Linked DNA regions of Saccharomyces cerevisiae S288C. The main gene of each other region encodes a partner of the protein of the gene in region 2 in a complex. Each region holds a gene or a part of one and is shown on either strand. Other genes may lie near its edges. The genes, in order: MYO2 and MMR1. A codon is read from its position in the direction of its gene.

Region 1 (7,215 bases), on a different chromosome or scaffold from region 2:
TCAACAAGGTTGCTGAACGTGGTGAAAGGCTAACATCCATTGAGGACAAAGCTGATAACTTGGCTATCTCCGCACAAGGATTCAAGAGAGGCGCCAACAGGGTCAGAAAGCAAATGTGGTGGAAAGATCTAAAAATGAGAATGTGTTTATTCTTAGTTGTTATTATTTTACTAGTGGTAATTATCGTTCCTATCGTCGTCCATTTCAGCTAACGCTCATCGGTTCCCGATGCTAATTCTAAAAAATATATACAGTAGTCATAATAGTAATAATAATATAATCATAATTTATAAATTCAGTAAGAAGCAAAATGTAGTTTAATATAGTGTACACTAATACGGCGCGCGGTTAATATCTTCCATAATATCGATTTCATTATCATACTATTGACAAATACTTCTATTATTAATTAACTATGTAGTTTCATTTTTTTTTTTCTCTTTTTTTGTCATTTCTTTTTTTAGCATTCATGTACAATTTTGTTTCTCGCGCCATCAGTTTTAGTGGCCGTCTTGAACGACTTGTTGGGCAACAAGGTCAACTATTCTCTTAGTTGAGGGCAAGGATAACCACGCTGGTATATAGGCTTCTACTTGGTCAAATTTTCTTGTCTTTATCAAACTGAATGGGTCAGTAAATGGACCTGTTTCTGGAGTGATAAATATACTGCTGCTATGCTCGTGACCCTTAGAATCATTACCTGATGAAGATAACGCAGCTTCTTTCTTAACTATATCAGCAACGTATCTTAAGATTTCCTGTGGAATTGGAGACTCATAGTCTGCCACCTGGTATTGTGAAATCAATTTTTGCAATTGTGCAGGTGTTAGCGAATAACAAATTCCTCTTAAGATATCAATGTCTTCGATAGTATACTTACGGACTTGCAGTAGCTTAGCGGTCTGAATCAAATGTTGTAAGCACTCAGTACCATCTGTCAAGCCATGCGTCTTGCACCATTCCTCTAATCTAGTAACGTTGTAGTTCAATTGAAGACCCCTTTTCCACGACAAGAAATTACGTTTCATGATTAATTCGTTAAAACAAATTGCATCCACATAATTCAATAAGGTTGTGACTACAGCATGGAACACTTCATTCTCAATATGAAAAGATTTCATGCACCAGTATATGCTGTTGAAAAAGGTCAAAATGTCGTCCATTGTATATTCTTCAGTGTTAGCAAAAATTTTGTTCAAAAACCCGCTGGTTTCTCCCGCGCTGAAACCTGGTAATGATTCGGAGATGACCACAGCATTGATGGCCTTTTTTTGCAATTGCTTCTGCAATTTCTTCAGCCAAATGTTATATATATTATAACTTAGAGCTTCGAAATCATCCTTTAGTTCTGTGACCAATGAAACATACTCCTTATACTCCTCATCGGTCATGCCGTTTTTGAACGTTTCTTCGGTTAAAATAGAGTTTAGAGCAAACACCACAAATGAGTATAACTCTCTAACGTTTGCTAACCAGAATACACCGCTTGGAATTAAATCGTTACCCTTCAATTGAGTGACAACTTTTTGAATTGTAGTCAATACTTGGGCAAGAAAGCTTTCACTTTGCTTGGTCAGCCCAAATCTCCACATTTCACTTAAAACTATAATCAGTATTCTAGCCGGATAAACAACGTCTCTTTTACTTAGTTGAATAGCTACACCAGCATCCGGTACTTCGAATCCCTTTAACAGGCCTTCCGTGATTTCTTGATTCAAAATTTCAGTGTCCTCCAATAACCTGTATAACTCTTCATTGATTTGTGTAGCATTGACACCATTTTCGCGATCGACACTCAATGAATCAATGTGGTTGTTTCCGGACGATGGAGTAGATCTAGACTTTAGATTCAAATCATTAGGAGATAAGTCGGAATTCTCAAGCATCATATTGTTGAAATTTGAAGCACCGCCTCCCATTACATCCTTTAATGGTGTTTGAGGTAGTACACTAGTAGTAACGGTGCCCAGCGACATGGCAGTTTGTAACCTAGCAATTTCTTCCTTTAAAGATTTAACTTCGTTTTGCAAGTCTCCGTTTAATGTCTGGTATTCAACCAATGTTTTCTTTGTTTGCTCTAATTCTTCAAGTTGCTTTTTAGATTCTTCTTTCAATTCATCATGTTGTTTAACCATGTCCTCCAACTCTAATTGAGCGTCCTTTAGAGTTTGTTCAGTGGATTGCAAATTGTTCTCAATAGTTTTTTGTAATTCCATATCCTTAGATTTCTGATTATCAATATCTATTAAGTGCTCTTTTTTCATATTTTCTAATGTCTCTTGTAACTTGGCACTTTCTTCCACTTGAACCTGTAGTTCTTTAATTCTTTCTGTCATTTCTTTATTTTCTTTGACCTTGGATGCTAGATTCTGCGTCAGTTCAATCACTTTATTCTCTAATTTATAGCTCACTTCTTTCAGATGATTAACTGATTTAGCGTCTGCCTTCAATTGTTTCAATTTCCTTTGAGCAGCTCTTCTTCTGATCAAAGATTGGACAACAACAGTGTCTTTTTTAGTGCGTAAAAATCTCGATCTCGGCTCAAAGGTCCTAACTTTACTTTGAATAGTTACCGCAGCATTATATTCATGTTCTTGTTTCAGTTGTCTTTGTTTTAGTTCCTTTCTAATTTTCTTTTGCAAATTTGTAATTGTTCTCAATACGCTGAACACATTGGCACGGATGGAATGACCCCTGTAAGCGGCCTGTAATAAAGTTGCACAGTTAACTTTCATTTCATCATTAACGCGTTGACGAATGATGAAACCTTTGATGTTGTTCTGCAAATACTTGATGGCCTGAGATATTTGCAAATACTGCTTACGGTAATATTTAGCTCTAATTTTCTTCTGGATCATAACAATTGAATTATGCATCTTATTGCTTCTAAGTTTTTCCAGATATGCAAGCATACCTGCTTTGAAGAAAATTTTTGTATTACCAATCTGGTACTTGGATTTGTCCTTTACAGTAGCATCTAGGATCATTTTAACCACTGATATGATATCTTCTTCTGTAGTTTCCTTTTTTTTGAAGATTAGGTCCCACTGCTCATGTGGTATCAAGATGTAATATCTTAATACAAATTCTTCAAAAGTCCACCTAGAAGGAAACCCAGCACAAGATATTCTAATAGTTTCCAAAACACCACAGGCTCTGAGTTGAGACAACACCATCAAATTATCAAATTGCCAAGCTTCTTTATCTGCATTAGGCTTTATACAACGAATATAATGAACATTAGTTGAGTTGATGGTATTCATTAGTTCAATCAAAGATTGCTTAAACATGGAACCTAAAGTGGGTTTCCTGTTAACCGTTCTTATCGGACCTGGCTTTTTACTGCCAGCCTGCTCTAATTCAAGCTTTTTCGCTTCTTCCAGTTTTTTGGCAGCTTTTTCTAATCCCTCTAAGATATTTATTAGTGTCTCGTTGGTAGAAGCCTTCAACACTTCCAAATGTCCGTCAGATACGGTGTCTCTATTTTTTTCAATAAATCCTTCCACATCATAAGCGACATCTAGAGCATAATGGCTCACGATAAATTTAGTTTGCCCGAATCTTGGTTTAGAAAATACTTTGTTCGTAGGAGATTTATCCAAAGTTTGATAAAGTTTTTGGGTCCAAGATTCGTCGGAACCAGCAGGTAACCTACTTTCTTCGTCAAGCAGTGATAAAATACCCAACTTGTTTTCAATCAGATCAATACAAGGTTGATTATCATTAAACTCTATAAAAGACCATTCAATTTCTTCTTTAACGTATTCTTCTTGCTCTAATTTGAAAACATGTTGGTTGAACTCTTGTTGTAGTTTTTCGTTGGCATAGTTAATACAAAATTGTTCAAATGAATTTTTTTCAAAATGTTCAAACCCATAAATATCCAGAACACCAATAAATGAGCTAATTTGGTCGTTCACAGCCGGGTTGCATAACACGGTGTTGATATTTTCCACAAGCCAATCGAAAAGGGCGGAATAAATAAACTTAGCCACGGAATCTTTGGCAACCAGAGCTTGACTATAATTTAGATTCGAAACAATTTTCTCTGACCTTGTAATGATCTGCTTTTTGGTGACCCATTTGGCAAAGTTGTAGGCATCAATTCCCAGCAATTCGCACGCCAGTTTCAGGTTTGGCTCATCAGCTGATAGTGATGCATCATTTCTAGTTTTTTTAATTTCTATGTTACCGATATGCAGAAGTGCGGCCAAGATCTTAAATATTTGGTGTTGAGTTTCCTTGGTGATTCCGACTAATGTCAATGCATCTACTGTAATTTTGTATTCTTTGGCATCATCAATACCGTTGATCTTGGTGTCACCGCCTTGGTTCATGTAGAAGTAATCTGAGGCATCGGTAAGATGCAATTCCTCCTTGGTTTGAGCTGGTAATCCAGCCATTAATTGATAAAATATGTGGTAGTTTCTCTCAATTGGCGGCTGGTAAACTAATCTGGACCGTTCCAACAAGTATGTGCGGATCCTTGCTCCAATAATAGATGTGTCCTTATCGAATAAAATTTCTAGATACTTACCAAATCTGGAAGAATTGTCATTTCTGGTAGTCTTAGCATTACCAAATGCTTCCATGATAGGGTTTGTAGCTAGAATCTTTTGTTCTGTTTCCGACATTTCCACTTGATGTTGTACAGTAGCGGAATTTTCCTCTTCTACAGAAGCAAAATAACGCATAATATACTTGGCAGAAACCGTTTTTCCAGCACCAGATTCACCACTTACCACAATGGTTTGATTTTGTTTGTCATTTTTCATCAACCTATACGCTTCTTCGGCAATGGCAAACAAGTGAGGTTCCAGTTCACCTCTGCGCTTTCCCGCATATGCTTGGATCATGTCTTGTGTATAAAGCTGGTCGACACGATCAAAAGGGTTTGTAGCAATCAGAACAATACCCGAGTATGTGTAGATATTCAATTGAGAATAGCGCTGTTTGATGGCATGTAAAACAGCTGGCTCATTCAAGTAAGATAAAGAGGTCAAATCTTCCGTTGCTTCCAAAATGGGAGGGTTTCTAAGAAGCGGTAGAGATTGGTCCTTATCGTTATTCAAGTCTTTTGTGTCCACGGACACGATTTCATCGTCTTCCAATTGTAACTCCAGGTGGTACTTGCCGTCGTTGAACTCATTTTTGATTACTTCCGCCCCAATCCAGCCCAATTCTTTATGGGGATACCAGCATCGTGTACCCACTTCAAAAGACATTATACGCTGTAATATCTGCTGTTTTTATGTCCTATATGTACAATGGTATAAGTATCGCTGTCCAATGGAATGGTGTCGAATAGTACCTTAGAAAACAAAAAACAAGCAAGCAGCCAGAAATCGAACGAATAATTTCAAGCGAGAAAAGTGAAATGACTTTGCGAGACTTTTTTGTTCTCTGATTGGCCTTGCAAAGTTGATAGATCTCTGAAACGCAGGCTACGAATCGTATCAAATGAAGGCGTGTTTGGGATTTCTGATATTTGGCTTTTCGAGAAGCGCGATCATAAACAAAAAAAAGGAAAAAATCACAAAATAGCCCTGGGTCGGGTAATAGTTTTTGCCCTACGTTTTCGTAAATGTGTCACTAGGTGCAATTGCCAATAATTAATTGTAACCTACTCAATATCTATTTTAGCCCTACATACGTTAGGGTCGAAAATCTGTTGGGGTTTTGGTTTTAACAGCGTAAACTAAACCAGATAAGCATCGAGAAACGGCGCTTGGCACATCGTATATCAACAAGACAAACCAGTGACCGGAGTTCTGAGGCGTCTTCGAGCCTATTTATTTATTGATCTGGGTCGGATAGTTCACCCTATTTGTGGAGGAAAAGACCTTCCCATATCTAAATTTTTTTTTTTTTTTGGTTTAAGTTATAGTTGATACATTAAGTGAAAATGAACTTGCTAATTGACCGGATGGAGAATCCCGGATCGAGGAACTGTACCCTGTTACCTCCTTCATTCCCAAGAGGCTTTTGTAAGGGAAGAAGGGCTTCCAGTGGCGACGCAGTGAAGATAAAAGAATCCGGTCTACAGCCGCAGCCGCAGCCGGAACCTCTACAAGCTAAAACAAATGTTGCACACTTTTCGAAATCATCTTCTAGATTACCTGTCATAGCAGTGAATGATAATCCGGTGGTCCCAAGACCAAGCACTGAAGTAAACTTGGGATCGTTGTTACAAAAGGAAAGGGAGAAAGAAAAGGAGGAACAGCCTGCGCTGCATGATAGGAGACATTTATATGTGACAAAGAATAGGGCACATGGGGTACGACAACGTTCATTGGAAATGACTAGCTTACCTGTCCTGGGATCGACCAAAACCGGGAAGTTTAGCGATTTTTTGTTTGAAGATGACATCGATAACAGAGTAGGTCGACACAGTAGATCATATAGTGGGGCATCCAGTTTGGATGATCCATTCAGAGTGTCGCCGAAAACCGACTTCAACTCTAATAGGGCCAGATTGTCTTGCCTTAGTAAAGGACGTCGTGGTTCGATGTCCGTTTTCCAAAGCTGTCATACTGGGCTAGCTTTCAATCAAATACAGGGTTCCTCCTCTTCGCAACGTAGATCATCCGCTGGTTCTTTTGATTATGAGAGGAAACGATTGGTTAACCAATTTTTACAGCCTTCTTTGGGAAATTCAGACCCATTTGATACGTTGAGGGAGTCGGTAGTGTTTGAGCCCTCATCCACCGCTGGCGGCATTAAATTAGGGAATATGCATTCTCAATCACAAATTTCCGTAAACTCCTCCCCCAGCACATCTTTGTTTTATCATGATTTGGACGGTTCTGCTGTCAACGATTCTTCGTCATTTCTGTATTCCCGTTCTAATGTACCAGCATTTTTGTCGTCATCAGCCTTTTCGTCCACGTCATCCACCTCATCAGATTCAGAAGATGTGGATAGAAGAAGTTTAAACGGTGTATATCCCTCTTTAGGATATTTGACTAACCAGAGGAAACCAAGGAATTCATCAGGCTCTTCCACTGCACCTGGCACCGATACCTTGGGATTTAAGTATTTACTGAATAGGCAGAAGTCAGCGGATTCTTCCACTAGGTTCAAGAGTGTACTGAAGGTGAACAATAATAATGGCTCCGCAGCCACTCCTGATTCTAGCTCAAACTCTATTTCGAAGAGCAACTCAAATTTGAATGATAACATTGATGAATTGAATTATTATCAAAATCATATTTC
Region 2 (4,098 bases):
TACGCTGTGGCTCCTCTAACGAAGCACTGGTCTCCCAAGGTTTAGGTCGTGGTACTGCTGTGGATGACATCGCAGGTATTGTTATAGTATAGAATCCCCTTGATATTTATAGATAGTATATGCACTTTCGAAATTGTTGTTCATTTCCACATGCGTTTGCTCACCAACTATCTGATATAATTAATATTAGTCCGGCGGGCTTCGGAAATAAAAAAAATTTGGCCCGCTGAAAAAGGTGTCATTAATCAGATAAAAGAAGACTTTATTATATCATTTTTTTTGGTAATTAATGTATTTAAGTATAGGTTGAATAAACTTGAATGCAATATATAAATTATGTGTTTGTGATACCAGTCACACCGTGATTGGATTTTCTATTCAGCTTTTAAAAGCGGGGTATTTGCTTAGACGACACTATGAATAAATAGCTGCAGCATTCGACGTTGTAAGAAAAAAGATTAAATCACACGACAAGCCCTTTGAAGTTCAGTAATATTCAAATAAAAATTGTCCAATGAGAAGGATGGATAACGGAGAAATCACGCACATTGCAGATGCGTAACTCGATAGCCTACAATACAAAGCGCCTATCAGCATTGATGTATTGTGAATGTTTGTGTAAAATAAGTTAATTTAATTTGAAGTTGACGCTTCATTTTTCCTTCTTCTCCACTTGGACAGGAAGGTTAAGTTGGAAACCTCTTTTACTTTCCCCACTCTGCACAGATGCTGTTGTGGAAATAGCAGAAGTTGGCTCCTCTTCAAAAGCAACATTTAAATCTTCGCTAGTATTAGCATCCGTATCATCGTTTGTTAGATGATCTTCCTCGGACGAAGTTCCCGAAGAAGAATCTGGCTGTTCTTCAATTTTCTTTAGGTCTAAAACAGAAACGCGTGCCAGTCTAGTCTTAGGGCATGGGATTCTTGCTGAATTTCCTTCAGTTTTTGAAGTGGAGGTGGCCACTACTGCGGAGGATTCAGTCAATTTCTTAAGAACTTTTTTACAATTGAAGAATTTTTTCTCCAGTTGCTTGACTTTTCTCTCAATATCTCTTTGGGATCTTTGAGCCTGTATACTAGGATCCTTCATAACCTCAAGCATAAATCTTTCTTCAATGTATCTGTTCGTCGTCATGGAATGCACTAATTTTTCATTCTGCAACTTTAATTCTGTAATTTCAAGTTCTAGCTGCTTGATCTTTATGTCTAAATTCGATTTTTCACGACTATTTGCCTCCTCTGCATTGGCCATAGAGGCCATTTGCATTGAAATATGTTGTTGTCCGTCACACCATTCGGGCTCATAGTCCGTCGACGTAGACGAGATAAAGCTATATCTGTTGTTGTTGTTATTGCCTTTGAGACCATATTGAACGAACCCGTTATTATCCGTAGGTAAATTGTCTAGATTCAGATCCTTAGGCAATTCGTTCACTTCGGTGCTTAGACACTGAGTGGAGCCGCCGGAGACGACTCTAAGTCCTTTGTCCTCGACCTTTCGCACCCCATGATTTTCTGGATCTTCCAAAGGAGTAGCAGGAACAGGAACGTATGAGGGGAGCAACCCTTCGGCGTTTTTCCGTAATATCGGTTCTTCCGCACAGACTTTGGCCTCAAATGAAGGGGGATTGCGTTCTTTCTTTTGTACTTGCGCAACGGATTCTGAACTGCGCAGCTGCTCTAGTTTGTCCTTGATGCTTTGTTTAATGATGTTTTTCTCTATGTTCAATGGATCAGGGTTTGAATTCTGGCCTTCACTAGTAGTTTTCTTGCTATTCTTCAATAGGGCAGATAGCAATGGCAGATTACTGGTTGTTTGAGATAGGTACTCGGGTTTTAACATCTTTGGAGTGTTGTTCAAAAACTGAAACCTAATAGGCGATACAGACCTCATAGTGTCAGAGCCCCTTCTTTGTTTAGAACGTCCACCTCTTGATAACTCGCTCAATTTAGAGAGTGATGTTGGATATAACAAGGAATTACCAATCGGGCCAGTGTCTAATTTTAGCTTCGTAGGTGAGTTCAATAGATTTTGAAAAGAGCCTGCATTTCTTTGGTCATCCAAACAAAAGGACATTGGTGAGAGTTTTGGAGTAAGTTGTTCCGATTTCATTGTTGGAGAATTCATTTTTTTAGTTGTTTAGTTTATTAGTTGTGTTTTTTTTTTTTGATTTTGCAATGAGTACTGGCTTGTAACAAGTTAAAAGAAAAGAAGATTAGTTAAGAACAACGGAATTGAAACGAAAGTAAAATAGTTGGAACCGAGGATAACTATGTTGATTTAAAAGACTTCACACGCGATTCTTTTTCCTTACTGCTATTTAGGAAGATGTGCCCCTCCAAACCTTTCCTTTATTCCCAAGGCAATCAAAATAACAGAAAATACAGCAGTAATAAAGCTTAATTCTCTAGGCTCACTTAAACTGAGCAACAATTTGTTGATCGTACGTGTTATTTAATACTATCAGGAAAAAATAATCTAAATGTGAGAAAAACTTCTATCTGTAACCACTTTGTCTTGAATGAACGTAGAAAATTTAAAAACGATCAAGCTTGCGTGAGAGAACTTGTAAAGTAAGGAAATCTGATTTCTAAACCCATAATGATTCTTCATCGAGCTTTCTTGCCAATTGGCTAATTAGAACTCTTTTTAGTTTATTTCCCGAAAGGGGTATTTATATTTTGCCCGTTTGGGACAAAATTAACCCTGCTTACACCAGGGTTTATCTAGAAATAAAATAGGTCATTGTTTTGAGATGACTTGGAAAAACTTAACCCTGATGTGACTGTAACATAACATCTAAGAAAAAAGGGACTAAAAGTCAACAGAAGGAGTAGATCGGAAAGTCATTGCATTTATCACTGATAAAGTCATGGCTGTCAAAAAGTAAACATCAGAAGTTCAGTTGCACTTTATGCTTTGGTGAAAATCCGTATAACTTAAAAGAATGCCCATCACTCAAATCATATCAGCGTCTGATAGCGAGGCGGGGCCAAAACCAAGCATTTCGTTGGTACCTGATAAGCCATCTGAGCCAGAAACTTCCCCTAGGCATCATCGCCTTTCAAGGTCACTTTCGAAGTTCAAGCGCTGGAGAGGAAGATCAAATAGCAGTTTATCGATGGGGTCGTCTGAGCAGCAAGAACTGCAGGACAGTCCAAATGAAGCCCGTAGTGATGATGACGAAAACGGTTACAATAACGATAATGCAGATGACTTGGCGAAATCCAAGTATATGATGAAAAGTATTGCCGGTTTATTAACTACTGCTAGTGTGTATGCAGGGATGAATAATGCTCAAGAAATGAATGTGTTGTCGCAAGTTGATTCTGAAGAATCTGATTCCAGTGATAGTTTCCAGGAAAACATTGGTCGAAATGAGGTAAAAAGCAAAAAGGAAAATCTCAAAACTAAATCGCATCCGGAAGTACCAAGATTAGACAAAAGAAAGCCAACTTTATTCGACTTCTCAATAACTAGGGAAAAACTGTCAAAAGACAATGTGGCTAAGTTGAGACAGCGGTTTTGTTTAGACGAACAGGAACCATTTTTGAATGATTTCCCTGCATGGCTACTTAAAGATGTGTTGGTTCAAGGCCATATTTTTATTACAACAAAACATTTCCTATTCTTTGCATATTTACCTAAGAATCCTCGGTCGGTTAAAATGTCTGGAAACCTTAATATCAGGACAAAACTAATTAGGTCTACCAGGTATTGGTGCGTACTAAAGAATCATTTATTTTCTATGTATACCTCATCAACTGAGCTATACTTTCCGGTTTTAACCATAGATTTGAGGGAGGTCCAAAAAATTGAAACACAAAAACATACCTTAAACGGGAGTGCTACGAAAACATTTAAGCTTTACACAGATGAAAGTACATTCAAATTCAATGCAGATTCAGAGTTCTCCGCTAAATCGTGGGTGAACGCTTTGAAAAAGGAGCAGTTCGCAGCTCAGAATTCTGAAAACAATTCGATAAGTTTAAAAATTCCGCTGCCCAACATTATAGAGATAGATGATCAACCTATAGTCAACAAAGCTTTAACATTGAGATTAAGAGCTTTGGAGAGCTCACAGACCTATGCTATCG

The links.
Region 1: the proteins of MMR1 (region 2) and MYO2 are in contact, whole or in part, in a crystal structure (PDB 6IXP), measured with the Saccharomyces cerevisiae proteins. Residues at the interface, in NP_013291.1 of Saccharomyces cerevisiae: Thr408 (codon at 907), Arg409 (codon at 904), Leu410 (codon at 901), Ala411 (codon at 898), Arg412 (codon at 895), Val413 (codon at 892), Ser414 (codon at 889), Val415 (codon at 886), Leu418 (codon at 877), Ile421 (codon at 868), Glu422 (codon at 865), Gln424 (codon at 859), Pro425 (codon at 856); in NP_014971.1 of Saccharomyces cerevisiae: Glu1222 (codon at 1,562), Leu1225 (codon at 1,553), Ala1226 (codon at 1,550), Leu1229 (codon at 1,541), Gln1233 (codon at 1,529), Thr1237 (codon at 1,517), Gln1238 (codon at 1,514), Leu1239 (codon at 1,511), Lys1240 (codon at 1,508), Glu1293 (codon at 1,349), Asp1297 (codon at 1,337), Glu1299 (codon at 1,331), Ala1300 (codon at 1,328), Leu1301 (codon at 1,325), Tyr1303 (codon at 1,319), Asn1304 (codon at 1,316), Asn1307 (codon at 1,307), Ile1308 (codon at 1,304), Lys1311 (codon at 1,295), Lys1312 (codon at 1,292), Thr1527 (codon at 647), Gly1528 (codon at 644), Pro1529 (codon at 641).

The regions. Positions count from the first base shown.
Region 1 is NC_001147.6:923,731-930,945, reverse strand, and holds MYO2 (myosin 2), read right to left. Parts: upstream 5,226-7,215; coding exon 501-5,225; downstream 1-500. Other genes in the region: SNAP receptor SNC2, read left to right, coding at 1-212; FRT1 (Frt1p), read left to right, coding at 5,906-7,215. UniProt on the Saccharomyces cerevisiae protein: Myosin heavy chain that is required for the cell cycle-regulated transport of various organelles and proteins for their segregation.
Region 2 is NC_001144.5:533,244-537,341, reverse strand, and holds MMR1 (Mmr1p), read right to left. Parts: upstream 2,129-4,098; coding exon 653-2,128; downstream 1-652. Other genes in the region: peroxin PEX13, read right to left, coding at 1-70; ATG26 (sterol 3-beta-glucosyltransferase), read left to right, coding at 2,949-4,098. UniProt on the Saccharomyces cerevisiae protein: Involved in the guiding of mitochondrial tubules to the bud tip during cell division.